4 linked regions of the Elephas maximus indicus genome follow. The protein of the gene in region 4 interacts with the protein of the main gene of each other region in a pairwise test. Links are inferred from orthologs where the notes say so. Each region holds a gene or a part of one and is shown on either strand. Other genes may lie near its edges. The genes, in order: ENKD1, TCHP, FAM110A and MKRN3.

Region 1 (7,797 bases), on a different chromosome or scaffold from region 4:
CAGGGAGCACAACAGAGAACTCCTGAGGGAACAGGAGATCAGTGGGATGCAGACCCCAAATTCTCATAAAAAGACCATACTTAATGGTCTGACTGAGACTAGAGGAATCCCGGCGGCCATGGTCCCCAGACCTTCTGTTGGCCCAGGACAGGAACCATCCCCGAAGACAACTCATCAGACATGGAAGGGACTGGACAATGGGTTGGAGAGAGATGCTGATGAAGAGTGAGCTACTTGTATCAGGTGAACACTTGAGACTGTGTTGGCATCTCCTGTCTGGAGGGGGGATGGGAGGATAGAGTGAGTTGGAAGCTGGCAAAATTGTCATGAAAGGAGAAACTGGAAGGGCTGACTCATTAGGGGGAGAGCAAGTGGGAGTACGGAGTAAGGTGTATATAAACTTATATGTGACAGTCTGACCTGATTTGTAAACGTTCACTTGAAGCTCAATAAAATAAAAAAAAATAATAATAATCCAGGCAAAAAATGGTAGTGACGTGGACCAGGAAGGTGGCAGTGGTGGTAGTGTGAACTCATCAGATTCTGGATGTAGTTTGAAAGCCGAGCCAACAAGAGTTACTGATAATTAAAAATGGGGCAGGGGGACATTGGTGATTTTGGCTCGAGAAACAGGGGAACGGAGTTGCCATTGATTGAGATGGGGAAGACTTAGGGAGAAAGTATCAAGAGTTCAGTTTTGGATTCCTCCCCCAAACTTATTCCTTCACCTTAAATATCTTTGTGAGTGATACTACTGAGCATCTATCTATCTAATTCCTGCATTTCTTATAGATGCCATGTGACCCCTCCATCCCCATTTCCTAGCACATGCACCCAGGACTTTAGGAATCCTAACCTTGGGCCTTTCCTACCTCGGTGTGTTTGTGCATGCAAGTTCTTTCTGTCTGGATGCCCTTTCCCCGTTACAACCCTGGAACATCTGCTCCCTTTAAGACAACCTCAGTGTCACTCCCTTATGAAGCCTTCCCTCATCCTGCCACCTGCAGGGCAAGTTGCTCTGTGCTCCCACCAAACTTGAGCCTGTTCCCTCAAGAAGCCCATGACGTCTTCACCTTTCACCCAAAGATCAGACAGGCCCATAAAAAAAACAAGATGAAATGGGCACACCAGTCCAGGAGCAAGAATGAGAAGGCAGGAGGGGACATAAAAGCTGATAACAGGGAACCCAAGGTTTAGAAAGGAAGAGTGTTGACATGTCATGGGGGAGGCAACCAGTGTTACAAAACAATATGTGTATTAATTGTTTAACGAGAAACTGATTTGCTCTGTAAACCCTCATCTGAAATTAAAAAAAAAAAAGCCCAAGATTCTTGAGGGAGTCATGATAGTGGAATTTGAGTCATTCACCATGGGCAGTGTCTATAGAATGAGTAATGGAATAACTGGGTGCTTTCACCTTTCCCCAGCTTGCCGTCACTCATAAACCTATGTATGTGTCTAATCTATACCGTTTCTTGGGCTTTATAAGTTTTCTATTTGAAGGTATTTCTTTTAACTTTTTAAACTTTTGAAGGTAGGATTTCTTTTAACTTGAACCACCCTAAGCTTCCAGGGGTGCCCTAGGTGTTGGTGTCTTGTGGCTGCTCATACTCCCATGAGTGTTGGAGTTTTAAACCATGGCTGACAGTGCAGAGCCCATCACAATAGAATAAAGATTAGATTCTCTTGCCCCAAGATATCTAACCAGCGCATAAAGATATGGAACCATGTCCAAGAAGCATGTCCACCTCTCCATCTGACCTTTCTTTACCTCCCACTCCCGGTTTATGTCTTCTGCCTCTGCAAGTTTCACTTTTCCCTAAGAACTTGTCTTGCTTCGACCCATAAGTATTTCTTCAGTCCCAATCACAGGCACTGTTTTCTGTTCAAGCTGAGCTACCTTGCTTCCTTTCCAAGGCCACCTCCTGGTTCCATAGGAGGCTTCCCTGGAACCATCTGCCTTGAAGAAACTAGGTTTTTTTTTTTGGAGTGTAACCCCCTTGGAACTGTGAGATTTCCTGTTGTGTTTTATTCTCAGGTATTGGGAAGAATGTGGTGTGTGAGAAGGCAGCAACCTCGGTGGATGCCTTCCGGATGGTGACAGCCTCGCGCTACTACCCACAGCTGATGAGCCTGGTGGGGAACGTGCTGCGCTTCCTGCCTGCCTTCGTGCGCATGAAGCAGCTGATTGCGGAGCACTATGTGGGTGCAGTGATGATCTGCGACGCCCGCATCTACTCGGGCAGCCTGCTCAGCCCCAGCTATGGCTGGATCTGTGACGAGCTCATGGGTGGCGGGGGCCTACACACCATGGGCACCTATATTGTGGACCTGCTGACCCACCTGACAGGCCGGAGAGCTGAGAAGGTACACGGGCTGCTCAAGACTTTTGTGAGGCAGAATGCGGCCATCCGTGGCATCCGGCATGTCACCAGCGATGACTTCTGCTTCTTCCAGATGCTCATGGGTGGGGGGGTGTGCAGCACAGTGACGCTCAACTTCAACATGCCAGGCGCCTTCGTCCACGAGGTCATGGTGGTGGGCTCTGCAGGCCGCCTTGTTGCTCGTGGGGCTGACCTGTACGGGCAGAAGAACTCTGCCACACAAGAGGAGCTGCTCCTGAGGGACTCACTGGCCGTGGGTGCAGGACTGCCTGAGCAGGGGCCACAAGATGTCCCGCTGCTCTATCTGAAGGGCATGGTGTACATGGTGCAGGCCCTGCGCCAGTCCTTCCAGGGGCAGGGTGACCGCCGCACCTGGGACCACACCCCTGTTGCCATGGCCGCCTCATTCGAGGACGGGTTGTACATGCAGAGTGTGGTGGATGCCATCAAAAGGTCAAGCCGATCCGGGGAGTGGGAGGCTGTGGAGGTGCTGACAGAGGAACCTGATGCCAACCAGAACCTGTGTGAGGTGCTTCAGCGGAATAACCTGTGAGCATGTACGTGGGCTCCCTGCCATGGGGCACGGGGATCAGGAGCCGTGGCAGGAGGGCATGGCAGAGGAGGTGGCTTTTGTTTAACAAGTCCACTTGTGCTGGGTCTGGGTAAAGCCTAAGGTGACCCTGGGCAAACACCCTCTCCATCCGCTCATTTACTCCTCAGACTGGCAGGGCAGGGAATATTCTGTTGACCTGGGCCAGTACAGTGTGTGCAGGTGGTGCTGCTGCCAGGTCTCTGAATCGCTACACTGTTTAGCAGGGCCTGCAAAAGCTTGACCTGGGGGCTTTTCCAGCCAGATTTGTGGTCCTGAGAGGGTGAGAAAGCACAACAAGGAGCCAGCTTGGCTGATCCCTCAGGCTGGGGAGAAAGGACAAGAAGCCTTGTTTCCATGCCTTTCCTGGGCTGGGGCATCTCAGGAATGGTGAGGGCAGCATGTCATCCTTCAAGGATCCTCCCTTTCTCTTCCTGGGGAGCAGGCCCTTCAGGCCTCCAGGCTGTCCCTCTGTGATGGGGAAGAGGGGATTTCTTAATTAGGTAACCTCTCGGGCTATTAAAGGGGACCTGATTTGGCAGAGAGGAAACAAGGGAGAGGTTTAGAACATCTGATAAATGTTAATAAAGAGAGAGAATACGACATCATGGCATGTGGTTTTTGGTTTTTGTTTGTGTGGTAGTTTGGGTTTTTGTTTGTCTTTAATAATGAAAGGCTTATTTATTGCTGTACATTGTTCAGATCTCTGTCTCTCCTCTCAGTTTCTCAGCAGCTCTGAGCCTGGCATGGGCCCTTCACTTTCCAGGGGGCGGCCCTGGCCACTGCCCTGCTCTTGTCACTGTGGCCCTCATGGCCAAGTCCTAAGATTCCTCCAAACAAACGTCTTTCTTCAGAGAGCAGGACTCAAGACTCCCTGAGGAGGCCCTGTGAGGCCCACAGTTACAGGGAGACAATTTGGGGTCAGGAGGGAGTTCTGTTCTTCAAATCCTGGAGTTGGCACCAAGGGAATCTCAAAAGAGAGGAGGTGAGGAGTACTTCCAGAGAAGCTGGAGGGAATGGGCTGGAAGAGGAAGGGCTCCATGCATTGGCCCTTGGAGTGGTTTAGCTGAAAGCTGCCTGGGCCAGCCAGCTAGTTAACCAGCCAGCCTTTTATGAACTGTGTTCTACACAGGGATAGTCATTTTTACCATGTAAGTCAGAGGTGGGGTGAGTATTGGGAGAAGGTCCTTCAATCCCTTTTGTTCTCTTGTCTCGCTTTGACAGCCTGCCAGGATTGTTAAGCCTGGACCAATCTCTGTTCCCTTCTCTAACCTTCCCTCTCTGCTCTGCCCTGGCTCCTTGCCAGAAAGGCTTAGGAGGGCTTCCTTTTCCTTTTGGCACCCCTTATAGAAGTCACCAGGCTTGTTTTCCTGTATTGTCCTGGTTGCAAATTATTATCCTTTTGAGATAAAACAATGAGTAGTGTTGGACTGTGTTCACTGCATGCTGGGCCCTCCCAGGGTAGACACTTCATGTACTTTATTTTAATCTCTAAACAACTCTATGAGGTAGTATTATTAATATTCCCATTGTTCAGATCAGAAAATTGAGGCACAGAAAGCCAAAACTACTTGCATTGTATAAGCTATAAGTGATGAAGCCAAGACCCAGTCAGGACCAGTCAGAGCCTAACCCTGAACTACCCATTTCTCCAGCACTGGTGAATTCTCAGACTCTTGACTGCACATATGTTGCTGCCCCCACTCCCACTGGGGTATTCAGCCAGATTGTTGCCTTCTCCCTATAGCTGGAGTCAGCCTGGCCTGAGCTAGGAGGTGGACTGCAGAGACCCCACTGCCAGGCAAGATGCTGACAGTGAAGAGTTAAAGAGTGAGTGTCTACCCACCCTGCTCCTGGGAATGATGGTCACAGCTCCAGGTCTGTCCCCTGGTGTCCTACTAGGTCCCTCCTAAATTTGGGGATTTACCCAGAAAACAGATATCCATTGGGCCTGACTCAGATGCTTCTGCACAAGAAAGTGCCATGTTGTTGACTCAGAATGGCACTTAAGTTTTTAGAGGAATCTGCCGCCAGCTCTTTGTTTACCAAGGCAGATTTCTAGATGCCCTGGGGCCACTTTTATGAGCACCCCTGGTTCTCTGGAAACACCCCCAGAACCTAGATCCATGACCAGAGGAGTAGGAGGTGGGCTTTGAAATGGCGCACATGCGTGCCTGTGGCCAAGGAAGCCAGCAGGGTTCTGGTCCCTAGGGGTGACTGAGCCTGCAACTGTGGTTCCAGGCTTGTCCTGCAGTGGCCCCTACTGGAGGAAGGTGGCATCACCACCTCCCAGAACCTATTTCCCAAATCAGGATGTCAGCCAACTCTTCCTCTGGTCAAAGTAAACAAGGTTTTACCAGGCCAGTGAAAATACGTTGAACCTCTTAGAGTTTTCTCTCGGAGCAGCAACCAGGTGAGCGCTTCCAAAATACTTGTTGCTTACTATCCAACTCCAAACCAAATCTAGGCCTTGTACTCACCTAGACAATCACAGCCTCCTCACCTCCCTGTCCCCAGTAACTTCCTCCTCATTCTGTCCTTCACACTGAAGCCCAAGCAATCTCTCCAGAATGTCAGGCTGAGATCCTTCCTTGCCTATACCACTTCCTGCCAGGAAAAAGGCATGGACACTGCTGTCACCAGAGGCCACTCCTTGGGCAAGGTCTGTTCCAGTTGTGGCCTGGCAACAAATGGAAAGTGTTCCAAAGTCTGCCACTCTTCAGACAGTCATATGAACTGTGCCACCTCAGAGGGGGGTTCCTAAGTGCTGGTCCACAAATGCAAGTCAGACCAAATACAGGTCACCTCCCTGGGAGACAGGGAACAAGGGCAAGTCCCTATTTCCTGTGGCCTCACAGACCCTTTCTCTGCTCCAAGTCCCTCCTTAGTCACTTCCCCCTTGATCCCTCACTGTCAGCCTGAGGAGCTTTTAACTGCATAGAATCCAGGCCCCACCCCTCAGATTCTGATTCAGTGAGATCTGGGGTGGTGCCCAGGAATCTATTTTTGTCAAGTTCCCAAGTATTCAGATGATCCGTTGGGCTTTAAACCAGGCACTGGGTAATCTCGCAGTCTCAGAAAATGAAAAAATGTTTATTGTCAGCAAGCCCAAGTTTCCAGCAAGTGGGGGCATGGGCCAATTCTACCTTCCACCTGAGGGCCTAGGCCCAGAGGCTGCTGCTCTGGTTCAGGCTTGGGGGGAGGGGAGCCACCAGTGGGGCAGGACAGTCACTTGTACTGAGGAGAGAGCGGGGGCACAAGCGGAGCAGCACAAACACTCAGCATCTTGTTGATGTCCACCTGGTTTGATTTATCCACCTCGGCCGTGAGCCGGCTGCTGACCCCCAAGCTGGGCAGACCCCCAGGTTCCTCTCCAGCCTCCTCTGCCAGGGGATCCAGAATGTGGGTGGGAGGCACTAACATTTTGGGGCAGGGAAAAGCAAGGTCTAAGCCCAGCTCACCTGCCACGGGCGGCAAGGCCTGCAGTTGCTCCACACCCGCCTCCATGGGGACCAGGGCCAGCTCCGACTGGGGCTCCACCTCGGCCTCTGCCTCCCTACCCCCTTCCCCTGCCTGGTTCAGCTCAGGGTTGCAATAGTTGATGTACTGGTACAGGGGTCGAAGGCGCTGGGCCTTTCCTGAAAAGACCCAGGATAGGGCAGGGCTGGAGCACCAGGCTGTGCCATGTTTTAGGGGGACCAGCAGGCAGGGGAGAAAGGGGAGGCCCAGGGCTGCCACTCACGCTCTAGCCCCAAGGTCTCTGAGGAGGCAGACACGGTGCTAACTGTAGCTGGGAGTGCGGGGGCCCCCAGACTCTTGCGCTTCTTAGGTTTTTTGTGCTGTTTGGAGGATGGTGAGTGCTCGCTACCTTCTGGCTCCCCCTTCTGCAGCAGCAGACCCAATGGCAGCTCAGCTTCGGCCCTAGGATGGGCATGGTGACTAGCCCCTGGGGAGGCTGGGGGACCACAGCCATGGACGGGAAGCCTGAGGAGCCAGCCTGTGCCCCGTGCCTAGGGGATAGCCCTGCCTGCCCACCACCCAGGCCAGATACCTACCACTTTCCTGGTCAGTGAGGGCCCCCAGGCCAGCAGGGGCCCAGAGCATATGAGCTCAGTCCCCTCCAAGACCTTCAGGCTCCCTCTCTCTGGGTGCTCTCTAACAGGACTCTTGAGGGACAAAAGAGGTGGGAAGTGATGGTGGTGGCAGGGGATAAGGGTCTGCCCTACAGGAGTGCAGGCTTTAGGAATGCTGGGGTGTGAGCCCCACTTCCCATCCCTGCAGCCCCTTCCCTCTGAAAGCCCCCTTACTTGACTGGCTTTCTCTTCAGACCATGACTGGGCCTCACAATGGAAGCTAGGGGTCTGGGGCCTGTCTCCTCTATAGCATCCACGGCTGGCTTGAGCCTCTCCTCCTGGAGCACTGGTTCTGAGGCTGGTTCTGTTCGGCACTTATCTTCACCCTGGGTCTGGCAGGTTTCAAGGGCTGGCACTAGACATTGGTCTCCTGTCACTGGACACTAGAGGTGACACATAGGGTATCGGTCACCATGACCAAATGATACAGGGATCAGACGTTAGAGCCCAACATTAGACAAAGACACCCCATAAGGGGGACCAGCCTGTGCCCCTTCCCGCCCTTGGAGCCTGTCCTGGCAGTTAGAGGATCAGGGTTGCCCAGAGTTCGGCCCTCTTGAGCGCCGCAGGCCAGTCAGGTCAGGCGGCCCGATGGTCACCTCGGAGCTCTGAACTAGGTCACCGGGCGCCTCTGCCAGCAGTGCCAGACCCGTGGTGGTCCCATCCTGGGGCCCGTAACGTCTCTCCGCCC
Region 2 (7,858 bases), on a different chromosome or scaffold from region 4:
ATTCTGAGCACCCAAAAATGAGCACAGGAGGGAGCAGGTAAGAGCCCAGCCTCTGGAGTCTGACAAACAGACTTGGGATCAAACCCTGACTCTACTACTTCTAGCTATGTGACCTGGGCCAAGTGATATAATCACACCAAGCCTCAGTTTCTTCATCTGTAAAATGGGTATCATGATAGTATCTCCTTCAAAGTGTTAAGGAGGATATTCCATGAGATAGCATATTTAAGGATCTACCTGGGACATGGGTGAGCAGTAGACCTAAGTCCCATGAGGGTGCCGATGTTGAAGAAGCTGACGATTATAGGTCTCAGTAGCTCTGGGTGAAAGCAAGGGATCTAAGAAAGCACCCAGACCAACCTGTCAGGTAACCTAGCTCTCATCTTAACTCTGCCATTAGCTTATTCCAAGAACCTCTTTCCTTCTTTGGACTCAGTTTCCCCACCTGTTAAATGAGAATGGGTCGGGCAATATTATTTAAGATTATTTCTGAAGACTTTCTAGACTTCTAATCCCAGTGGTGGCATTGGGGGCTGTGTTCCCCATCCTGCTGGCCCCAGCAGCCGGCCTTTCTCTAGGACCTTGCACCAGCAACACGAGTTCTTTATTCTCAAGAGGAAGGTGAAGTTGGGGAATGCCTAAGGAGACAGACTGAGAGGTGAGGCTTTTCTCAGGGAAGAAAGGCTCCCAGGATTCAACAGAGGAGTCTGGGAACATCCCAGGAGCTTGCTCAACAGGGATTGAGCTTAATTTTAAGGAACCAGCCCTGGCACATTGTCCAGGTTCTGTGACAAACCTCTCTGGCAAAGGCAGGGTCCTGTAGCTCATCCCCCACACCCCTGGCTGCAGGCTGGGGCACTTAGGGTGGGGTCCCACTGGCCATACTTTCCTTCATTCACTACGCATTTTCTCTCTCTCTCTTTTTTCTTTCTATCCTTTTCCACATCATTCCACCACCATTAGCATAAACTCGATACCCCCTAAGCAAAAGCTTCCCCTTTCCCCCTTCCTCTTACCCCTGGTAACCACTAAGAATCTTTGGTCTCTATATATTAGCTTATCTCATGTAAGTGAGATTATACAGTGTTTGTCCTTCTGTGACTGTCTTATTTCACTCAGCATGATGTTTTCAAGGTTCATCCATGTTGTGGTATGCATCAGGACTTCATTTCTCTTTATGGGTGACTAATATTCTATTGTGTGCATATACCACATTTTGTTTATCCGTTCATCTGTCGAGGGACAAAACCCAAACCAAACCCACTGCTGTTAAGTTGATTCTGACTCATAGCGACCCTATGGACAGAGTAGAACTGCCCCACAGGGTTTCCAAGGCTGTAAATCTTTTTGGAAGCAGACTGCCACATCTTTCTCCTGTGGAGCAGCTGGTGGGTAGAATTGCCAAGCTTTCAGTTAGCAGCCAAGTTGTTTAACCACTGCGCCACCAGGGCTCCACTGTCAATGGACATTTACTAAATATTTTTAGCACCTACTCTGTACCAATCAGAGGCTGGAACATGCAGCAGGAGATGGAGTTCATGGTATATTGGTGAAGGGCAGATGTTATTTTAAAAAATATTTAAGGTACCAGTGGATGCTATGGAGAAAAAATACAGTGTATTCCAAGGTTGGGCAACCTGACCTAGTCAGAGAGAACTGGGGAGGGCTTCCCAGAGAAAGGGATATTTACACTGAGACCTGAAGGTTGAGTAAGAGCAGAGGGGAAGAGCCTTCTAGGAGGAAGGAACAGCATGGTGGAAACTTTGGAGGTAAGAGTTGAAACAAAGGCCAGTGCAGCTAGCAAGGTTGACAGGGGCCAGACCGTGCAGAGCATAGTGTGCACCTTGCACCAACGGAAGTGGGGAGCCATGGAAGGATGCTAAACAGAGGAGGGAGCTGCTCCGACATTGTCCACCAATTGCCTTGAACTTAGGAACTTAGGAAGTGGAGGCTGTCTGCCTCCCTGGATGGACTGTGTCCAGTAGAATCAGCGAGGACAACAACCAGCAGAAGAGCAAAAGAAAAGAGGGAGGAAGAAGACCTTTCCCAGCCCCCTCCCCTGCAGACATCCCTCGGGTCTCTTTGAGCAGAACTGGGCCACAAGCTCATCACTGGCCGGTCACCAACAGGGGGCGTGGGTCCACCAGAGTTGGCTTAGACTAACTGGTGCTTAGGAAACCCTGATGGTGTAGTGGTTAAGTGCTATGGCTGCTAACCCACAGGTTGGCAGTTCGAATCTACCAGGCACTCCTTGGAAACTCTATGGGGGCAGTTCTACTCTGTCCTGTAGGGTCGCTATGAGTCAGAATCGACTTGACAGCAATGGTGTTTTTTAATTGGTACTTACTCCCTGAATCCTGTAGAGAAGGGTAATGCCCCACCCCAATCAGGCATCAGCTTGAACAAGAAAGTTGAGGGAATGGCTTTTACATAATCAACCAGTAGTGTCTGCTACTGTGAGCAAATCAGTAAATACTTTCCAGCTCCTTCTTTCAGTAGAAAAGGAAATAAACCCAGCACTTACTGAGACAGGGAGTCCCTGGGTGAAGCAAATGGTTAACATGCTTGGCTGCTAACCAAAAGGCTGGAGAGTCGGAAGAAGGGGCTGGTGTTATGGATTCAACTGTGTCCCCCAAAAATATGTGTTGTAAATTCTAAGCTCTACGCCTGTGGCTATAACCCTATTTGGGAATGGGTTGTCTTTGTGATGTGACTGAGACAGGATTAGTGTAGGGTGTATCCTGAGTCAGTTACTTTTGATGTATAAGAGAGATTAAACAAGCAAGCAGATGTGGGAAGAGGATAGACACCATGCCACATGAAGATCACCAAGGAGCCAAGGAATAAGGACCTTCCCCCAGAATGAAAAGAGAGAAAAACCTTCCGCTAGAGCTGGAGCCCTGAATTTGGACATCTAGCCTCCTAAACTGTGAGAAAACGAATTTCCATTTGTTAAAGCCACCCACTTGTGGTATTTCTGTTATAGCAGCATTAGATAACTAAGACACCTGTAGATCTATTTCCCAAAAGTCAGCCATTGAAAACCCTATGGAGCTAAGTTCTACTCTGACACACATGGGGTCGCCATGAGTTGGAACTACCCCTAACCCAGCTCCCAGCCATCTTCGCTGTTTTTGCTGAGTGGCCTTTTATAGTTTGTTCTCATGTATACCTACATTTGTTATTCTTCCTGTTGTTAATATTATTAAAACACAAAATTGGGGCTCTGGAAGGCAACCCTGTCCTCCCAGGGTCTTTGAACACACCCTGTCTAATCCTGTATCTTTGTCTTCAGGAAGGGGGGGGAGCCCAGCCCAAGTTGAAGGGAGCCAGTGTGGTTGATGTTGAAACGCTGTGAAAACATGGTGTGGATAAAAATGCCTGGCAACGCCATCTGCTAATTAAGTGAGGGGCGTTGTGCAGCCTCCAACACTGTCACATGTCAGCTAACGGACAGCTGGTCCCATGTGCTCCCATCTCCCCATTCCTGTGTCTCCTCTCGTGCTAGGATACCCAAAGGCAGGTTCGAGGAGAGTAGCCCTGTGTAGCTGCATGGTGTGAGCAGCATCCACCCTGACCATTCCCCGCCAGGGCCTCCCCTCCCAGCCCTCTGTGAGCCACAGTCCTCAGCCTGTTAATATCGCCGAACTCTTTATGTGGCCCAGATGGCCTGAAATGTGTAATGGTGGCTACCAAACCAAAAAACCCGCTGCCCTCGAGTTGATTCCAGCTCATAGCAACCGTGTAAGACAAAGTAGAACTCCCCATAGGGTTCCTAAGGCTGTAAACTTTATAGAAGCAGACTGCCACATCTTTCTGCTTCGGAGCAAGCGGCTGGTGGGTTCCAACCGCTGATCTTTCCCTTAGCAGCTGAGTGATGGTGGCTACAAGCTCCTAGAGAAACAGATGGGAGACTCACAACTTCAGGGGGCTGGGTGTCAATCCTGCCTCCTGTCCTTGCTGTGTGACCTCAAGAGAGTTGCTTCACTTCTCTGAGCCTCAGTTTCCTCATCTGCAAAGTGAAGGCAACAAGGGAGGCTTCAGCAAGGTAATAAATGTTAAAAACATCTGGCACATGGCAGGTGTTCAAGAAATGTGAGTTGCTTTGCTTCTTGCTTTCTTTCATCGTTCCCTTTTTTTTTGGATAATGGGGAGAAGGGACTCAAAGTTGGGGATCTACTCATTGGTTTTTAACAATAGAAGGTTACCAGTACCCTACATCTATTTACATCGGTAGTCTCTGCCTTGGTTGCACACCAAACGCACCTAGGCAGCTTGGAAAAACTGATGCCCGGGATCCACCCCCCCGAGTGATTTGTCTGGGGTTTAGTCTGGGGATCGGGATTTCTTAGAGCTCTCCAGGTCATTCTCATGTACAGTCAGGCGGCTTATATTCTTTTCCTCTATCCTATCCCCGTGATTTCCTACCACCCTTACCTTCATCCCCCTAGGTTACCGTGTACTGAACGGATTCTTTTCCTCCATCGTTCCTTATTTTAAGGACTAGTGATCTTTAGGAGCCCAGGTGGTGCAGTGGTTAAGCACTTGGCTGCTAACCGAAAGGCTGCCACCAGCCGCTCTGCGAGAGAAGGGTGTGGCCGCCTGCTTCCATAAAGATGATAGCCTTGGAAACCCTATGGGCAGCTCTACTCTGCCATATAGGGTGGCTATGAGTCGGAATCCACCCCACGGCGATGGGTTTGGTTTTGGGCTTTCTGAAAAGCGACAATTGCTCTTGATCGCCCGCCCAACACTAGGAGGCGCCAGAGAAAACAGACGCCTTTCTTTCTTCCGCGCGCTCAGTATCGCGCTGGAGGCGGCTTGGCCCTCGCGACGCTCCGTCGCCAGGCCCGTTGCCGGGACAACGAACTTTGAAACGGCTGGCGTCAGTGCCGCGCGGCCTGCGGGGAGATTGTCCGGCTTGTGGGACCTTGGCCTGGGTGGGTCGCTTGGGAAACTCCAGGACCCAGAGAAATGTGAGTCGGGAGGCTAGCTTCGTCCGGGAGCCAGCGTGGGGCCCAGGACAGGGTCCCGGCCGCTGTCGGCCCGCAGTGGCGGGAGCGCGGGTTGGTCTGGGGACACGAGGACAGGGCGCCCGGATTCCCGTCCTCACTCTGCTCCGACACTTGCCGCTGTCATCCCGCTTGTCAGATGTGGATGTTGAGGCTCAGTGTCTCCATCTGTGAGATTAGGGATTTGCCCTCCATGATGGCCCAGAGCACTTTCAGCTGCAGCACCTGGTCTGGGGACTGCCAGGGCATTTTGGTTCCAACACACAGCCTGTCACAGTTGACAGAGCCTGGAATCTGGACTCAGACCAACGTGAATTAGAACCGCATCTCTTTTATTTCCTCCATTTCCTGGCTGAGTGTTCCCGGACAAGTCATGTCACCTCTTTAAACTTAAGTTTTCTTATCTACCAAATAACAGAGGTGGTCATAGGGATGAGACTGCTCCTAAGATGTTCCTTAAATGATTGTCACTGTTACTTTATGCAGGGTATAAACCTCCCCAAGGAGTGGTTCTCTGTCTCTGTCTTCAGTGCCCCCGATAATGCCTGGCCCACAGCCAGTGCAGCCCACATTTATTTAAGTCAGCGATTTGCAGTGCTGATAGCAAATCAATTTTAAAATGCCGTTGCCTGGGCGTCACTCTTAAGATTTTCTGATTTAATTGGTCTACTATTTTTTTGAAAGCTCCACCAGGCGATTCCAATGTGCAGCCAGGGGCGAGAGCCATTGATTAGAGGGATGAGGCCGAGCTCGGGAGGGTTCCTGGGGTTTGCAGTTGGCTCACTTTCCTGCCATCGCTGTTCTCCTCAGATGGCACTGCCCACACTGCCCTCCTCCTGGTGCAGCCGGCGGCTCCTAAGTCAGCAGTTGGCACGGCAGCGAGAGCAGGCGGACTGGCTTCGGCAGCAGTGGGATCAGAACCGTCGCTACTTTCAACTGTCTGACATCTGCAGCTCCAAACAGGCAGAGTGGAGCTCCAAGACCTCCTACCAGCGGAGGTAATTGCACAGTGACTGCCAGTTAGATGGAGGTGGGGCCTGCTTGCTGGTCACGGGATGTGGTGTTAAGGGCCCTGGGAATGTGGCTTGGCTTGACATCATGCCTTCTAGAGGGATTTGCTAACAGCAGGGATTGCCTGCATGGTGGTGATGGTTTTTCCAACTAAGAAAGATAAAAGATGCTTAGCTTCATTAGCCTTCAGAGATATGCACATCAAAACCACAATGAGATACCATTTAATTCCCACTAGGATGGCTTAGATTAAAAAAAAAAAATCAGAAAATAATGTATGTTGATGAGGATGTGGGAAAATTGGAGCCCTTATCCATTGCTATTGGAATGCAAAATGGTATAGCCATTGTGGAAAACAGTGTGGCAGTTCCTCAAAAAACTAAAAATGGAACTACCATATGACCCAACAATTCCTAGGTATATACCCAAAAGACTTGAAAGCAGAGACTCAAAAAGAGACATGTACACCAATTTTCATTGCAGCACTATTCACAATAGCCAAAAGGCAGAAATAACCTAAATGCCCATTGACAGATGAATGGATAAACAAAATGTGGTACATACATACAATAAAATACTACTCAGCCAGTTGGAGAAATGAAGTCCTGATACATGCTATAATATGGACGGAGCTTGAAGACATTATGCTGAGCGAAATAAGCTCACAAAAGGACACATATTGTATGACCTCACTTATATATAAAAAGACAAGGAAAGGCACACATATAGAGATCAAAATTTATTAGTTTTTACCAGGGGTGTGAGGAAGAGTGGAAAGGGGGGAGGTTAATGGTGAGGGAAAAATCACATTGATTAAGGGCACAGTTGCACAGCCGATTATTGTAATTGCTGTCAATGAGTTGTACACCTGTAAAAAGTTGAATTGGCAAAAGTGGTATAATAGATATGTTAACAACAACAACAACAAAAAGCTGCTTATGTGCAGCCAGACACCTTACGGGATTTGGTTCCTTGGTTAGGAGGTTTATGGTCATAGTTTCATGGGACACTCCAGTTAATTGGCCTAAGAACGTGTTTAGTGCTTCTGTTCTACCTCCTAGTTCGTTGTGTAGTGCCTGGGGTCTTAAAAGCTTACAAGTGGCCATCCAAGGCACAACAATTGGTCTCTAGTCACCTGTAACAACAGCAGAAGGAGAGTCAGGAACAGGAGGAAGATATGGAATGTGGGCTAATAGCTTCCATGAACAACTGCCTCATTTGCTGTGAGACCAGAAGAACTAGATGGTACCTGGCTGCCATTACTAAATATTTTGAACAAAGATTCCATAGAAGAATGCTGATCAGAATTTCAAATTCTCATGGACTGTAGACTTTCTGGAGCCATGGAAGGTAGACAAACTCCTGAAACTGTTGCCCTGAGATAATCTTTAAACCCTAACCAAAAATATCCCCTGAAGTCATCTTAAAACCAAACGATAGTTTAGCTTAACTAGTAAAAAAGACCAGCCTTGACATTATGCTTTTTTAAGAACTATCTATATGGGATCAAATTGACAACAGGCAACTTGAAAGATTAGATGGGAAGCTTAGGGGCAGTGAGTTTGTTAATGGGGGAGGAACAACTCAGAAAAGGCTGAGAACGGTTGCACGACTCCAAGAATGTAACCAATTCACCAAATTGTACATGTGGAAACTGTTGAATTGGTATATGTTTTGTTGTGTATAATCTCAACAACAACAAAATAAATAAAATTTAGAAAAAAAAAAGACAAAACAATACAGAAGTGTTTGAAGTAGAATTTAGAAGTCATCTTGTAATCCCACATCTCTATACTTCTGTATAAAAACATACATACATAAACCAATTTTTATAG
Region 3 (7,519 bases), on a different chromosome or scaffold from region 4:
TGCAACTCAGACCCTCTATCTGTATCTCTGGGAGAGGGGCCCAGGCAACAGGACACTCATGTGCAGCCAAGGTTGAGAGCCACTGAGAGAGCTACTCAGCTTGCAGCTTCTGTTCGGGCAGCCTTCACTGAGCCTCAGCCGAACCATCTCTCCTCTGGGATCCCACAAGCCCCTGTGCTGACCCAACCTGTGCCTGTGGCCATCTCATGCTTAATGCATGTTTTGTGTCTGTCTCCCCCACTAGGATGTGGGCTCCCTGAAAACAGAGGTTTCTGGTGGGTCCTTCCAGAGAAGTTCAGACGTAAGCAAACACATACAGAGAGAACACCCTTTAAATTAAATGAAACAAAATAGAATACAGCCACAGGATGCACAGGCGACAGAGAGCTGACATCTGAGTCTGATTTCATCTCAGTTTCGAGCTGAGTGGAGAAAAAACTGCCAAGGTCAGAGTTCTGGAGGGGGCAAATCCCACACACTGAAGGAGCCACCGGCCTGTCAACAGGGCAGATGCTATTGTTGCTCAAACATGCTGGGTCAGGATAAGACCGTGAGGATTGCTGGCTCCCTCTGATCCAGGCGCAGTTAATGACAGTTTGTCCTTACTCTTAGTCCTCCACCCCAGCTTGGAGGAGGGCAAGGACTGGGATGCTGTCAACCACTCTGGCTAGGCACCAGGCTCTTAGCACATCCTTGAAGGAGGCATCATCAATACGCTGTTGGCATGTGAAGATGCCCAGAGTTCTAGAATCCAATACGCCCAAATTATCTTTCTTCATATGGCATAATTTGGGGTCCAGGGGAAATCCCTTCCCCCCTGGTTTGCTTTACTTTCTTAATCTGGGGAATGAGCCTCAGGTGGTGGTGTTTTGTTTTGCTTGGTTTGTTGTCAGCTGGAAGGCATGCAGGACAGAGGAAAGCTTTGAAGATGCAAGGGTCAGCAGGGCCTTTCTCCAAGCATCTCAAGTATATCCCAACCCCTGATTAAAGTTGAACGATGTTTCAGAGAAGAATCAGACCACAACACCATTATCATTCCTCTTTTAATAACAGGGAGGTCAAGGTCTGGGAGGGACCCTGGCAATGTGCTCACAGGGTCATATGCTTTTGTAACACTTGCCAAAGTAAGGTATTTTAACTGCGCTCTGTTAAAGCCACCATCTCTTTACACTCCAAATTCTCTTTGTGTCAGATGACGTTGGGGTGGAGTTAAGCATTTTGGGGCTTTGGCTAAGGGGACATTGAGTTGGGGACACATTTAGTTTGGGTTTAGTGGGATATATTTAGGTTGTTTCCAGTCATTTTTTTTTTAATTATTTATTTGTTTTTATTTTGCTCTAAGTGAAAGTTTACAGATCAAGTCAGTCTCTCGTACAAAAACATATACACACCTTACTATATACTCCTGGTTGCTCTCCCCCTAACGAGACAGCACATTCTACCTCTCCACCGTGTATTCCCTGTGTCCATTTAGCCAGCTTCTGTTCCCCTCTGCCTTCTCATCTCCACTCCAGACAGGAGTTGCCCACATAGTCTCATGGGTCTACTTGAGCCAAGGAACTCACTCCTCACCAGTGTCATTTTCTGTCTCATAGTCCAGTCCAATCCCTGTCTGAAGAGTTGGCTCTGGGAAAGATTCTAGTCTTTGGCTAACAGAAGGTCTGGGGACCATGACCTCCACGGTCCTTCTAGTCTCAGTCAGACTATTGAGTCTGGTCCTTTTATGAGAATTTGAGGTCTGCATCCCACTGTTCTCCTGCTCCATCAGGGGTTCTCTCATTGTTGTGAATATTTAGGATCTCTGGTGGCATAGTGGTTAAGAGCTTGGCTGCTAATCAAAAGGTCAGCAGTTCAAATCTACCAGCTGCTCCTTGGAAACCCTAGGGGGCAGTTCTACTCTGTCCTATAGAGTCACGTGAGTTGGAATGGACTTGATGGCAACAGGTTTGTTTTTTGGGGTTTTTAAAAACTTATTACTAACTGACCTGGTGTAGGAGCCCTGGTGGTGCAATGGTTAAGAGCTACAGCTGCCAACCAAAAGGCTGGCAGTTTCAATCCACTAGCCATCCCTTGGAAACCCTGTGGGGTAGTTCTACTCCATCCTATAGGGTCGCTATGACTTGTAATCAATTTGAAGGCAACGGGTTTGTTTTTTTTTGACCTGGTTTAATAATGGCTTCCAGGAATACGATTACCCCTTGAACTATCCTGACTCAATTGGTGTTGTGACGTGATAGTGCAGGGTTAGAGGTCATATTTCAATATAAATGACCTTACATCACCCACACCAGAAGTATTTGGGTGCTAGAGGAGAAGTTTGAAATGTACGTATACATGGAGCCAGAAGGTAGTTTGTGGAAAGTATTACATGGGTATGTCAAAGAGGTAATAAAGAATGTTATTTTTCCGGGTTTTGTAACATTTGCGGGATTTGTCAAGTTTTAAAATTTTGTCACTTGTGGTAGTTTCTTTTATCTTTCTAACCAAGTATTCACTTTATGACCTAATTATATATTCTTTGCTTTAAAGAATTCCCCCTAAATTGTATAAAGCTTCAGGCTGCACAAAGCCTGGATCTGCTTCTGCTCAGCTTTTTCCTGTGTCTTATAGGAGCACAGGGCCAGCCTGGCCTTCCCTCACCACTGCTGCCACTGCCACTACCAAAGAGTTCTTGCGTATTTATGAAGGAATATAACTGGCTCTGGATTCAGACAAATCTTAATTTTCTCACCTATAAAATGGGAATAATAGTAGGATCTCTTTCCTCAGATTGCAATGAAGTCATGGCTCAGATTGCAATGAAGTCATGGGAGATAATCTTTGTAAAGCCTCTAGCACAATCTAGCAGGGGATACAGTGAGGGCTAGGTTTGATATTTACCTGGTGCTCACAGTTACAGCCAGACTCCTCATTTATGACAGTTTCTGTTCTGATTTGATCAGTGCCCAAGCCAGAGTTCAAAATCATTGTTAGCTGCTGACATACATAAATGCTCCTTTCTACTCCCTGCCCCCACAAGGTATGTATACATAAGCGCTCAAACATTGACAATGCAATGAAAGAAGGAAAGACACCAGCCAGGATAGAAAACAGAGGCAGGCTCCAAATTGAGCAATGCCTTAGACTCAAACAGTGACTCACAGTTATAAAATTAACCTTGAAGAGCCCTTCATTTATTCTAACCTCATAAAAAAAGAAAACAAAAGAAGTTTTCCTGACAGTTTTAAGTATTGGGAATTTGGAAATTCCACAAAAGCACAAAGAAGAAATTAACGGCTGTTAATTTTTTTTTTATACATATATACATGTGACATCACGATTATAAACTTAATGCCCATCTATGGGGCAGTTCTACTCTGTACTACCGGGTCGCTATGAGTCGGAATTGACCGGACAGCGCTGGGTTTTTTGGTTTGGGGCATGCTGTACATACTGCTTTGAAACATATTTTAAGTTTAATGCATTCTTAGCATTTCCCCTGTATCTTGAAACGTCTTTTAACTATACCATTTTTAATGAATGCTTAACATTCTTCATCAAAAAATGGGGATAAAAAAAATTTTTTTTAATTTGATCTCAGGGAAACCCTGGTGTCATAGTGGTTAAGTGCTACGGCTGCTAATCAAAGGGTCAGCAGTTCAAATCTGCCAGGCGCTCCTTAGAAACTCTATGGGGCAGTTCTACTCTGCCCTATAGGGTCGCTATGAGTCAGAATCGACTCGATGGCACTGGGTTTGGTTTTTTTGGTTTTATTTGATCTCAGAGGATTATCCTGAGCACTGACAAAGTTATACCATGCCAAGCCGCCTGGCATGTAAAAACTCAATAAAAATCCAAAAAAACCCGTTGCCCTCAAGTTGATTCGGACTCATAGAGACACTATAGAACAAAGGAGAACTGCCCCATAGCGTTTCCAAGGAGAGAGGCCGGTGGTTTCGAACTGCCGACCTTTTGGTTAACGGCCAAACGTTTAACCAGTGGGTCACCAGAATGGACTTACATAATCAATCCCTTTCTGCTGGTCATTTAATTTGTTTCCACTGTTTTGCTATGGGGAATAACGCTGAGCTATATTAATCTTTGCTCGCATTTTGATCATTTTCTTAGGACAAATTTCAGGACTGCAGTGCACGTCATTTTAAAACGAAGCCACTCATCGCTGTGCAGCTAGAGGAACAGGGGAAGAGACTTGCCCAGGGTCACATGGCAAGTTAGCTGCAAAGGAGACTAGACACACTCCAGAAGCCCCAACCACTGCCTCTTTCAGGTGGGGACCCTCAGGACTTCCGGTCTGGGGAGCGGGGGGGAGGAGGAGGAACGGAAAGAACCACGCGCCCGGGCGACTGCAGCCGCCGGAAGAACGTGGGGCCGACAGGGAAGGGGCGGGGCCGCCGAGTCCGGGCGCTCAGTTCACGAGGTTGACGCTAAGTCGTCGCTTGGCAACGCGGGCGGCGCGGCGTTCGAACGGAAGCGGGGGACCAATCAGGATTTCCGGGGCGAACCATTCCGGCCGAGGGGGGTGTGTGTGTGTGCGGCGCGCTCACTTCCCCTTCCGCGGATCTCTGGACCTACGCTCCGGCCGGGGCCTTCGGAAAATCAAGGCCCCCGGGCCATCTAGTGAGACGGCAGCTCAAAGAGGCCCTCGGGGCTGGGGTCTTCCGGGCCGCGTTGGGAACGGTCACTCCCAGCCCGGGTCAGAGCTGTCAGCCTCTCCAAGACCCACGCTAGAGGAGCGACGACTCGCGTAGCACAGGCCCCAGGTGAGGGCGCGGGTGGTCTGGGGTGCGAGCCGGGGTCCAGCAGGGGGTTACGGTTCACTGAGCGCCTGCTGTTGGCGTCCTCACTGAATCGTACCTGCAAGAAGGAGGTGTTACCCCATGTCACAGGTGAGGACGCTGAGGCTTAAGAGAGTCAAGTGGCCCAGCCCGGAGAGGTCTGGCAGAGAATCCCATTCAGGTCTTTCCACCTCATCTCGCAGCCTAGATGTGCCTAGAAAGGCCCAGACGGCAACTGGTGGTCACTTCTTAGCTTCTTTGGGGCACGGCTCGTAGACCCCCTGGCTGGATCACCTCCTCCCTACAACTAGGCCCCTCCTCCCCGTCCCCGGCGTCTTTGGGTCTGTAGGGTGCCCCTTCTGGGCGTCTGTCTTCCCTTCCCCAGAACGCCATGGGTTGGACTAAGTGTTCATTTGGGGATCTTCTGCCTGCATTCTTTCTTACAACAAAAATTTATTGGCTTCACAGCCCTGCCCTCCCCCTTGCCTGTTTTGTCTCAGTAGCATTTGCCCCATCTGTTGTCCTATCTATTTCACTTATTAGTGAGTTTATTGTCTTCTCCTCTGGAATGTGACACAGGGCAGGGGCTAGAATGAGGCAAGTGAGGCACTCAACCTCTAGTGCAAAATTTAGGGGTGCCCAAAAGCTCAGTAATTAAGATAAATAGTATTTCAGTGAACCATTTTTAAAAGTAAAAATGCAGTGCATGCTAAGCAAAATATCACTGTTACAGGGTTAGTAACAGTGCTGTGCCAGGCAATATTGGATCCAAAAGGAAGAATTAGTATTCTGTCTTTATAATCACAGAAATGATGTAAATAACCACATATCCAAATGTAAAATTTCAGTGTGACAAGGAATATAATAAGAAGGAGGAGAGAGCCATGAGGGAGTTTCACTGGGGGCCCTGAGCTAGTCTAGGCATGGTCAGGGAGGGTTCCTGGGAAAAAGGGATGTTTGAACTGAGATCTGAAGGTCAGGGAAGCTTTAGGAGGAGAACAAGTGGTGGGCAGGTGAGAACATCCCATGCAGAGGGAGCATCAAGGGCAAAAGTCCTGAGGTGGGAGCAAGCTTGAAGAGGGTGGAGATGTGGCCAGGAAGAAGAGGAGCGTGGTCTCCAGGGCAGGCCAGAGCTCTGTCCCTGGCATTTGGGCCCTTTGAGAATTATTGCTTAAGGGGTACCTTGTAGGGTTGCTATGAGTTGGAATCGACCCTAGTAGCTTTCTTTCAAGTTCCTTGGCGTTTTGTTTGTTTATTTAAGTGTTGTGTAAGCATCACCACTATTTATTTCCAAAGCTTTTTCATCATCCCAAACAGAAACCCTGTACCCATTAAGCAATAACTCCCCATGTCCTGCCTCCTCCCAGCCCCTGGTAATCTCTAATCTACTTTCTGACTCTGTCCATTTGCCTATTCTAGGTATTTCATATAAGGGGGATCACACAATATTTGCTGTTTTGTGTCTGGCTTATTTTCAAGGTTCTTCCATGTCATAGCATGTATCAGAACTTTATTTTTCTTTATGGCTGAGTAATATTTCATTGTATGTGTATACCACATTTGTTTATCTGTTCCTCTGTTGATGGACACTGAGTTGTTTCCATCTTTTGGCTACTGTGAATAACACTACAGTGAACATTGGTGTACAAGTATCTGCTGGAATTCTTGCTTTCAGGTGTCTTGGTTATACACCTAGGAGTGGAATTGCTGGGTCATAAGGTAAGGTCATATTTAATTGTTTTACTGCATGTTATTCTGGTGGGAGGTCAACTTGCATGGCTTCCATGGAGTGTAGTTCCACCATCTCTGTCACAATTACAAGTGCTGTCCGCTGACTCAGCTGTCTCACTTCAGGTATTTCTTCTTGGCAAAATGACATAGGTACAGTGACACTGCAGCATGGTTTGTAATAGGAGGGACTGGACACACACTGGGTGGTGCAAATGCTTAACATGCTTGGCTACCAACTGGAAGGTTGGCCTTTTGAATCTATCCAGAGGCACCTCACAGGAAAGGCCTGGTAATCTACTTCCAACAAATCAGCCATTGAAAATCCTGTGGAGCACAGTTCTACACTGAAACACATGGGGTCACCATGAGTAGGCGTTGCCATGAGCGGGAATCGCCACAAACGAGAGTCAACTCAATGGCAAGTGGAACTGGTAGGCACAGTGCAGCTGTGAAAAAGGAGAGGCTGCTCTCTGGGTATTGATGGCGTACCCAGAACAACATATATTGTTGAGGAAGAAGGGCAAGGTTGAAAACAGTACACAAAGCCTGTTGCCATTTGTGTAAAAAAAGAGAAAACATGTATGTCCATACTTGCTTGTATCTGCCTAAAATTTCCCTGGAAAGACACACAACTACCTGGTCACAGTGGTGCCTACAGGGAGGGGAACTGGGTGGCTCCCCAGGACAAGGGCAGGAGAGAATTTTTTTTTACTCCATTCCTTTTTATAGGTTTTGAATTTTGAGCCATGTGAATATATCACCTGGTTGAAAAATGATACATATGTGATCACTATATATTATATATCTAATTGTGAGAACCACTGCCATATCTGTGGTCTGTCACTGACTTGCTGGGTGACCTTGGGCCAGTTTCTTCACAGCTCTGGGCCAAGGTAAGAAGCCATGATAGTGAGCCCCCAAAGGGTCAGAGGGCAATCAGGACAGAAGTGGGCTGTGGGTCTGCTTCACTTCTACCACCCCCATCCTCTGTGCCAGGCCCTTCCCTAAGGGTT
Region 4 (7,250 bases):
AGCGAAAATAAAAGCCAGAATCACTCGGGGGACAGAGGCTTAGGAGGCCAGCCTCAGGACTAGAAGTCTGAGGCTCCTGCACAGCAGGGAAGTGAAAATTGGAAATCATAATACAGGTGCTAAAAGTAGCCTAAGACTCAAAGTGCTCCCTGCTAGTGCCTCACTAATGAAAAGTGTTTCCAACTATAAACTAAAAAAACAAAATTCAAAACATTAAGGACCAGAAGAAATAATTTTGTCCACGGAACAAAACAACAAAAGGTTAAAACAGTGAGAATTATCAGACAAAAAAAACAAAACAAAAAAACAAACTAATGGACATAAGATGAGTGAACAGAAACAGAATTTATAAAAATCATGGATGAAATGTTGCAGAAACTATGAGATGAACTTTTAAGTATAACAAGGGTTTGTGGTTTTAAAAATAGGTATTAAAAAAAACCCTGAATGAATGAAAAATACTCAAAACCAAAAGCCAAACCCACTACACATAAACAATTTTCATGTCAATCTTAAACAGGATAAAACATGTAAACATATGTGCCCGATTCTGGTCAAATAAAACACAAAACCACAAAATCATCTGACTCAAAGCTACCCTTTAGAGAGACACCCTACAGGATAAAGGTAGAACTCCTCCACAGGGTTTCCAAGGCTGTAGTCTTTACAGAATTCTGTGTGGCCACTGAAACGATTTATCAAACACAGCAGAGAAGTACAGAGTACCATGAGAGGAACAGCTGGTGTCAGCACTGGCAAAAACGTTGGAGGGTGGAGGTAGGTTTGACTTCCACCTCAAAGGAATCACCCTCAGGCCGTTGATGCTGGTAATGATTCTCCAACCCCCTTGTGAAGTTAGAGAAGGAGGTCTGACCCTGACATCATGTCATTTCTACACTTTCCATCTCTTTTCCTCGTCTCCATCTACTTAATTAGGATTTAAATTATTGACCTAGATGATTATATCAGAAATAGTCAGACTTTCTCTCACTTTAAAATTTAAATTTAGGCTATAAAATTCCCTGTAAGAAACTTGTTTTGGCCAATAAAATTCAATGATATACAAGAGGAAGACACATCATCACAGCAAAGCTTTATTCTTAGTAAAAATGTTAAGCTAATATGTGAAAATCTTTGTGTCAATAATCACATTGAGACAATGAAGACTAAAAAAAGATCATCTATCAATATTCACAGAAAATTAGTATTCAGTATACATTCATAATAACTACTCTCAGCAAAGTAGTAATAGAAAACAAGTTCATTAATAAAACGTATCTACAAAATGACAAAGAGCTCACATATATGGAAATTAAAAAGCACCACTTGCCCCATGTATAGTAGAGTCAACATTCTGGAAACCTGTTCTAACACAATACAGTACAAAGCTGGGTGAATTAGAAGATTCAAAAGAAGGAGAAAAAATAAATGGAAACAAAGGGCTGCCATGAGTTAAACCAGTCGAGCGAAAATAAAAGCCAGCATCACTCACTGGGCAGCGGCTTAAGAAGCCAGCCTTACGACTAGCAGAAGTCTGGGGCTCCTGCACAGCAGGGAAGTGAAAATTAGAAATCACAATAAAGGTGCTGAAGTGGCCTAACATACAAAGTGCCTCCTGCTAGTGCCTCACTAATGAAAAGTGTTTCCAACTATAAATGAAAAAAAAAAATTCCAACCACTAGGAACCAGAAGAAATAATTTTGTCCATGAAACAACATAACAAAAGGTTAAAGCAGTGAGAATTTTCAGACAAAAAACAAAACAAAACAAGCAAACAAAAAACTAATGGACATAAGATGAGTGAACAGAAACAGAATTTATAAAAATCATGGATGAAATGTTGCAGAAACTATGAGATGAACTTTTAAGTATAACAAGGGTTTGTGGTTTTAAAAACAGATATTAAAAAAAACCCTGAATGAATGAAAAATACTCAAAACCAAAAGCCAAACCCACTACACATAAACAATTTTCATGTCAATCTTAAACAGGATAAAACATGTAAACATATGTGCCCGATTCTGGTCAAATAAAACACAAAACCACAAAATCATCTGACTCAAAGCTACCCTTTAGAGAGACACCCTACAGGATAAAGTAGAACTTCTCCACAGGGTTTCCAAGGCTGTAGTCTTTACAGAATTCTGTGTGGCCACTGAAACGATTTATCAAACACAGCAGAGAAGTACAGAGTACCATGAGAGGAACAGCTGGTGTCAGCACTGGCAAAAACGTTGGAGGGTGGAGGTAGGTTTGACTTCCACCTCAAAGCAACCAGCCTCAGGCCGTTGATGCTGGTAATGATTCTCCAACCCCCTTGTGAAGTTAGAGAAGGAGGTCTGACCCTGACATCATGCCATTTCTACACTTTCCATCTCTTTGCCTCGTCTCCATCTACTTAATTAGGATTTAAATTATTGACCTAGATGATTATATCAGAAATAGTCAGACTTTCTCTCACTTTAAAATTTAAATTTAGGCTATAAAATTCCCTGTAAGAAACTTGTTTTGGCCAATAAAATTCAATGATATACAAGAGAAAGACACATCATCACAGCAAAGCTTTATTCTTAGTAAAAATGTCAAGCTAATATGTGAAAATCTATGTGTCAATAATCACATTAAGACAATGAAGACTAAAAAAATGATCATCTATCAATATTCACAGAAAATTAGTATTCAGTATACATTCATAATAACTACTCTCAGCAAAGTAGTAATAGAAAACAAGTTCATTAATAAAACGTATCTACAAAATGACAAAGAGCTCACACATATGGAAATTAAAAAGCACCACTTGCCCGATGTATAGTAGAGTCAAAGTTCTGAAGGCTGTTCTGCCACAATACAGCACAAAGCTGGGTGAATTAGGAGATTCAAAAGAAAGAGAAAAAGGAATGGAAATAAAGGGCTATGATGAATTAAACCAGCCGAGCAAAAATAAAAGCCAGGATCACTCAGGGGACAGAGGCTTAAAAGGCCAGCCTTAGGACTGGAAGAAGTCTGGGGCACAGCCGGGAAGTGAAAATTAGAAATCACAATACAGGTGCTAAAAGTTGCCTAAGATTCAAAGTGCTCCCTACTAGTGCCTCACTAATGAAAACTGTTTGCATCTATAAACGGAAAAAAAAAATTCCAGCCATTAGGAACTAAAAGAAATAATTTTGTCCACGGAACAAAACAAAAGGTTAAAGCAGTGAGAATTATCAGACAACAAAACAAAACAAACTAATGGGCATGAGTGAACAGAAACAGAATTTATAAAAATCATGGATGAAATGTTGCAGAAACTATGAGAAGAACTTTTAAATATAAATAAGGGTTTGTGATTTTAAAAAGATATTTAAAAAAACCTGAATGAGTGAAAAATACTCAAAGCCAAAAATCAAATCCATTACCCATAAATAATTTCTATGTCAAGCTAAACAGGATAAAACATGTAAACATATGCACCTGATTCTGGTCAAATAAAATCAAAACCACAAAATCATCTGACTCAAAGTTACGCTTTAGAGAGACACCCCATAGGACAGAGCAGAACTTCCCCATAGGGTTTCCAAGGCTGTAGTCTTTACAGACTTCTGTGTGGCCACTGAAACCATTTATCAAACACAGCAGAGAAGTAGAGAGTCCCATGAGAGGAACAGCTGGTGTCAGCACTAGGCAAAAAGTTGGAGGGTGGAGGTAGGTTTGACTTCCACGTCAAAGCAACCTGCCTCAGGCTGTTGATGCTGGTAATGATTCTCCAACCCCCTTGTGAAGCTAGAACTGCCCCATGGGGTTTCCAAGGCTGTCGCAAATGGCCACATCTTTCTCCCGCGGAGCTGCTTGGGGTCTGCTGGTGGGTTCCCATTAAGGAAATCTTTTGGTTACCAGCCCAGAGCTCAACTACTGCGCCACCAGCTGTCGTGAATGAAAAATAGAAGCGATATAAAACCTCAAAGTGTTTTGATTATATCCACCAAAGGAGACAATGCGATAAGCGGAACTTGGGACGGGGGGACGCATCTGAGACTGACAAAGCGCCGAACAGGGCCAAGGCCGTGAAAATAGCCGAGGCGCCGCAAAACTATCACGGTGGAAAAAAACCGGAAGTCTGCCGAAAACGCCTGCAGTAGAGACTAGGTAAAGCAGAAGCGGCGCCACCACAGGAAGTGTCCGCCTCGCTGGCGAACGGAAGTACGTAGGAACTCATAGTCATAGGGAGCTGGGAGCAAGGGGGACGACGGAAAGTGACGGACCGCCTAGAGAAGAGAACCGGCGGCCCAAGAGGCCGCCCGGCCTCTCGCCCGAAGGGAAGGCTCGCCGGGGTGGGGCATCCTGGTAACTTTCAGCCCCCTGGAGGCCATGAGAGAGTCTGCAGCTCCCTCAGAAGCCCCCAGGACCCCCGGTGCCGAGGCAGGTGCCGGGGCGGAAGGGGGAGATGCCCGCGGTTCCGGCCTACCGGCGTCCGCGGCCTCCGGGGAGCCTGCAGAGGCACTAAGGTCGGTCCCTAGACGTGCGAGAGGCTTACGGCCTGTCCAGAGTGCAGGGGGAGGGGCCGGGCCCTTACGGGTGCCGGACCGCGGCGTCGGAACCTGGACAAAGCTAGTGACCTGCAGGTATCATTTACATGGGTCGTGCAAGCAAGGGGAGAAGTGCCGCTACTCCCACGACCTCTCAGGTCGGCAGCCGGCTAGCCAGGGTCCCGATTCGGGGCTCCGGGACCCTGCAGACGGCGGTCCTAGCGCGGCTGCGGAAGTGGAGGCCTCGACTCCGGAAGTGGCGGGAGCTTCCCCTGGTACTTCCGGTCACAACTTGCCGCTGATTGGCTCAGCTTTTGAAACGGAGAGCGGGAATGCCGGCGGCCAAGCAGCCGGAGCAGTTGCGGCAACCTGGGCGGATGCTGTTGAGTTTGTTCCGGGGCAGCCTTACCGGGGCCGCTGGGCGCTGCCTGCCCCGCAGGCTTCGGCACGGATCTCGGTGGCGCCAGAGGAACCGCTCTGCCAGTACGCTGCCGTGGGAGAATGCCCTGATGGGGAGAACTGTATGTATCTCCACGGAGAGGTGTGCGACATGTGTGGGCTGCAGGCTCTGCACCCCGTGAATGAAGCCCAGAGAGCAGAGCACGTAAGGGCCTGTATAGAAGCGCACGAGAGGAATATGGAGTTCTCTTTTGCCGTGCAGAGCAGTATGGACAAGGTGTGTGGCATCTGCATGGAGATTGTCTATGAGAAACCCAGCGCCGGCCTTCGCCGCTTTGGCATCCTCTCCAACTGCAACCACTCCTACTGCCTGAGGTGTATCCGTGTGTGGAGGAAAGCCACACAGTTTCAAAACAGGGTCGTCAAGTCGTGCCCACAGTGCAGGGTCACCTCCCACCTTGTTATTCCCAGTGAGTTCTGGGTGGAGGATGAGGCAAAGAAGAAGCAGCTGATTAAGGACTACAAGAAAGCAATGAGCAAAAAGCCTTGCAGGTATTTTATGGAAAGCAGAGATCGGTGCCCTTTTGGGAACCACTGTTTTTACAGGCATGTTAACCCTGAGCGTCAAAGAGAAGAATCCCAAAAGCAGGATGCTGGAACTTCCAGCACTTACTGGAATCAGCTTGTGGAGGGCAGCGTGTCCTTTAAGATCAATGAAAAGGAGCTTATCAGGCTTCGCCTGGCCAAGGTGTTGTTTAAGTATCTCCTTTCCACGGGGAATTATAAAGTCCCCTTTTCTGATTACCAGTGGGAGTTGCTTCTTTTTGAGCTTGAAAAGTATTTCAATTTGATTCCGTAGCATCGTGCTGTGGCATGTGGTCTAGTCTGTAGAGGCCCTCTTCTCTGCTATTTTGCCTGTGTTCCTTTTACAGACCCATCTGTCACTTTCAGGGGCTGTTGTGACAGTTTTTGTACAGTGTCCCTTTCTGTTTTCTTACCCATTCCTCTTATCTTTCCCGCTAGGATTATGGTGTTTTGCCGTGTTAAAAAGTAACAAAAGTCTTTAAAATTACTGTTCAGTGAAATGATTATTGCTGTCAGTTTATCTTGTAATCTCTTTTTTCAACAAGATACACTCAGTTCTAGGTTAGTGTTTACAGAATTTCTACACTCATTTTGAAGTCTCTCAAGAATAACTGTGACAGGGTAAAAGGAGGAGTCTTAACTGACCAAATGGATCATTGTGTGATCTTGTGGCGCAGCTGCATATTTTTCTTTGTTTACATGCCTGTCCCTTCTGTCATCCCTTGTCAAGTGCACTGATGATATTGCAGTTATTTTGTGGTTTCGTGTTTTACTTGAATCAAGTGCATATGTTTACATGTTTTTATCCTGTTAACTTGAAGTGAAAATTATTTATATTAGAAAGTATATCTTTAAGAAATATATATATGTCTGCATGTATGTCTGTATGAAAGTAGTGTATTTGAAATATATATTCAAGAACATACATGTGAACATAATTGTGTTTACATAATAAAATAAATGCAGAGCTGTAAGCTGAAGAACAAAGAGCAACAGGATTGGCTATTGTGTGAGTGCAAAGTGTGTGAATAGTCCTTCTGTACCGTACAGGTGTCAGTTATTAGCATCTAATGAAACAATTCAAGTGAAGTTGGCCAAATGTGACAGACACAGATCTTAAAGGACATACGAAGCATGACTTTGGCAATTAGAAATGCATGTCCCTGTGGCGTTTAGTGTCATCTCATTGTCCTCTGTAATAGCACAGTCATGACCTCAGACATGCAGTTCTTTGTGTTCAATATTTTATCCCTAGCCTTTCCAAACAAGGGACTTTTGACAAAAGTTTTAAAAATATAAGTACAAGATTATAAAGAGGAAAGTAGAAAAATAAAAAGTACTGAAATCGTTCAGAATACAGGAATGGAATGATAAAAGAATGAAGTTTAGGACAAAAAGCTAAATACAATACTAATACAGAAAATTTATAACATATCTTAATTAGGCTAACTGAAAACAGTATAAAACTAAAAGTCAGATTATCATACTTGATGAAAATTGGGATGAAACTATGTTGTTTACACAAATACAAGCATACAGAAACACTGGAAGTAATAGGATGGGAGAATGTTAACCAAATGCAAAGACAAAGTTAATGTTATTCATGGACAGAAATGAAGAATGCTATATAAACATTAAAATTACAGTTTTCCAGGAATATATAGCTTCTAATTTTGTATTCATTTAATAACATAGCCTAAGACATATAAATAATTAAAAAAATAGAAAAATCCAAAACCTCAATGGACAATTGTAATAAAT

The links.
Region 1: the proteins of MKRN3 (region 4) and ENKD1 interact in binary tests that used the Homo sapiens proteins (3 or more experiments, as listed by UniProt). The two-hybrid records come from large-scale screens. The link is inferred for Elephas maximus indicus from reciprocal best matches to the Homo sapiens genes MKRN3 and ENKD1.
Region 2: the proteins of MKRN3 (region 4) and TCHP interact in binary tests that used the Homo sapiens proteins (3 or more experiments, as listed by UniProt). The two-hybrid records come from large-scale screens. The link is inferred for Elephas maximus indicus from reciprocal best matches to the Homo sapiens genes MKRN3 and TCHP.
Region 3: the proteins of MKRN3 (region 4) and FAM110A interact in binary tests that used the Homo sapiens proteins (3 or more experiments, as listed by UniProt). The two-hybrid records come from large-scale screens. The link is inferred for Elephas maximus indicus from reciprocal best matches to the Homo sapiens genes MKRN3 and FAM110A.

The regions. Positions count from the first base shown.
Region 1 is NC_064839.1:34,136,053-34,143,849, reverse strand, and holds the start of ENKD1 (enkurin domain-containing protein 1), read left to right. Parts: upstream 1-4,789; 5' UTR 4,790-4,803; exon of another isoform or gene 4,804-6,201; coding exon of another isoform or gene 6,202-6,611; exon of another isoform or gene 6,612-6,715; coding exon of another isoform or gene 6,716-6,928; exon of another isoform or gene 6,929-7,272; coding exon of another isoform or gene 7,273-7,489; exon of another isoform or gene 7,490-7,705; coding exon of another isoform or gene 7,706-7,797. Other genes in the region: GFOD2 (glucose-fructose oxidoreductase domain-containing protein 2), read left to right, coding at 2,039-2,937. UniProt on the Homo sapiens protein: Microtubule-binding protein which regulates microtubule organization and stability. Promotes the stability of astral microtubules and facilitates the proper orientation of the mitotic spindle.
Region 2 is NC_064840.1:20,428,889-20,436,746, forward strand, and holds the start of TCHP (trichoplein keratin filament-binding protein), read left to right. Parts: upstream 1-4,849; 5' UTR 4,850-4,976; intron 4,977-5,822; coding exon 5,823-6,010; intron 6,011-7,858. UniProt on the Homo sapiens protein: Tumor suppressor which has the ability to inhibit cell growth and be pro-apoptotic during cell stress. Inhibits cell growth in bladder and prostate cancer cells by a down-regulation of HSPB1 by inhibiting its phosphorylation.
Region 3 is NC_064843.1:38,839,090-38,846,608, forward strand, and holds the start of FAM110A (protein FAM110A), read left to right. Parts: upstream 1-4,519; 5' UTR 4,520-4,760; intron 4,761-6,450; 5' UTR 6,451-6,494; intron 6,495-7,519.
Region 4 is NC_064831.1:99,037,836-99,045,085, forward strand, and holds MKRN3 (probable E3 ubiquitin-protein ligase makorin-3), read left to right. Parts: upstream 1-4,232; 5' UTR 4,233-4,347; coding exon 4,348-5,763; 3' UTR 5,764-6,749; downstream 6,750-7,250. UniProt on the Homo sapiens protein: E3 ubiquitin ligase catalyzing the covalent attachment of ubiquitin moieties onto substrate proteins.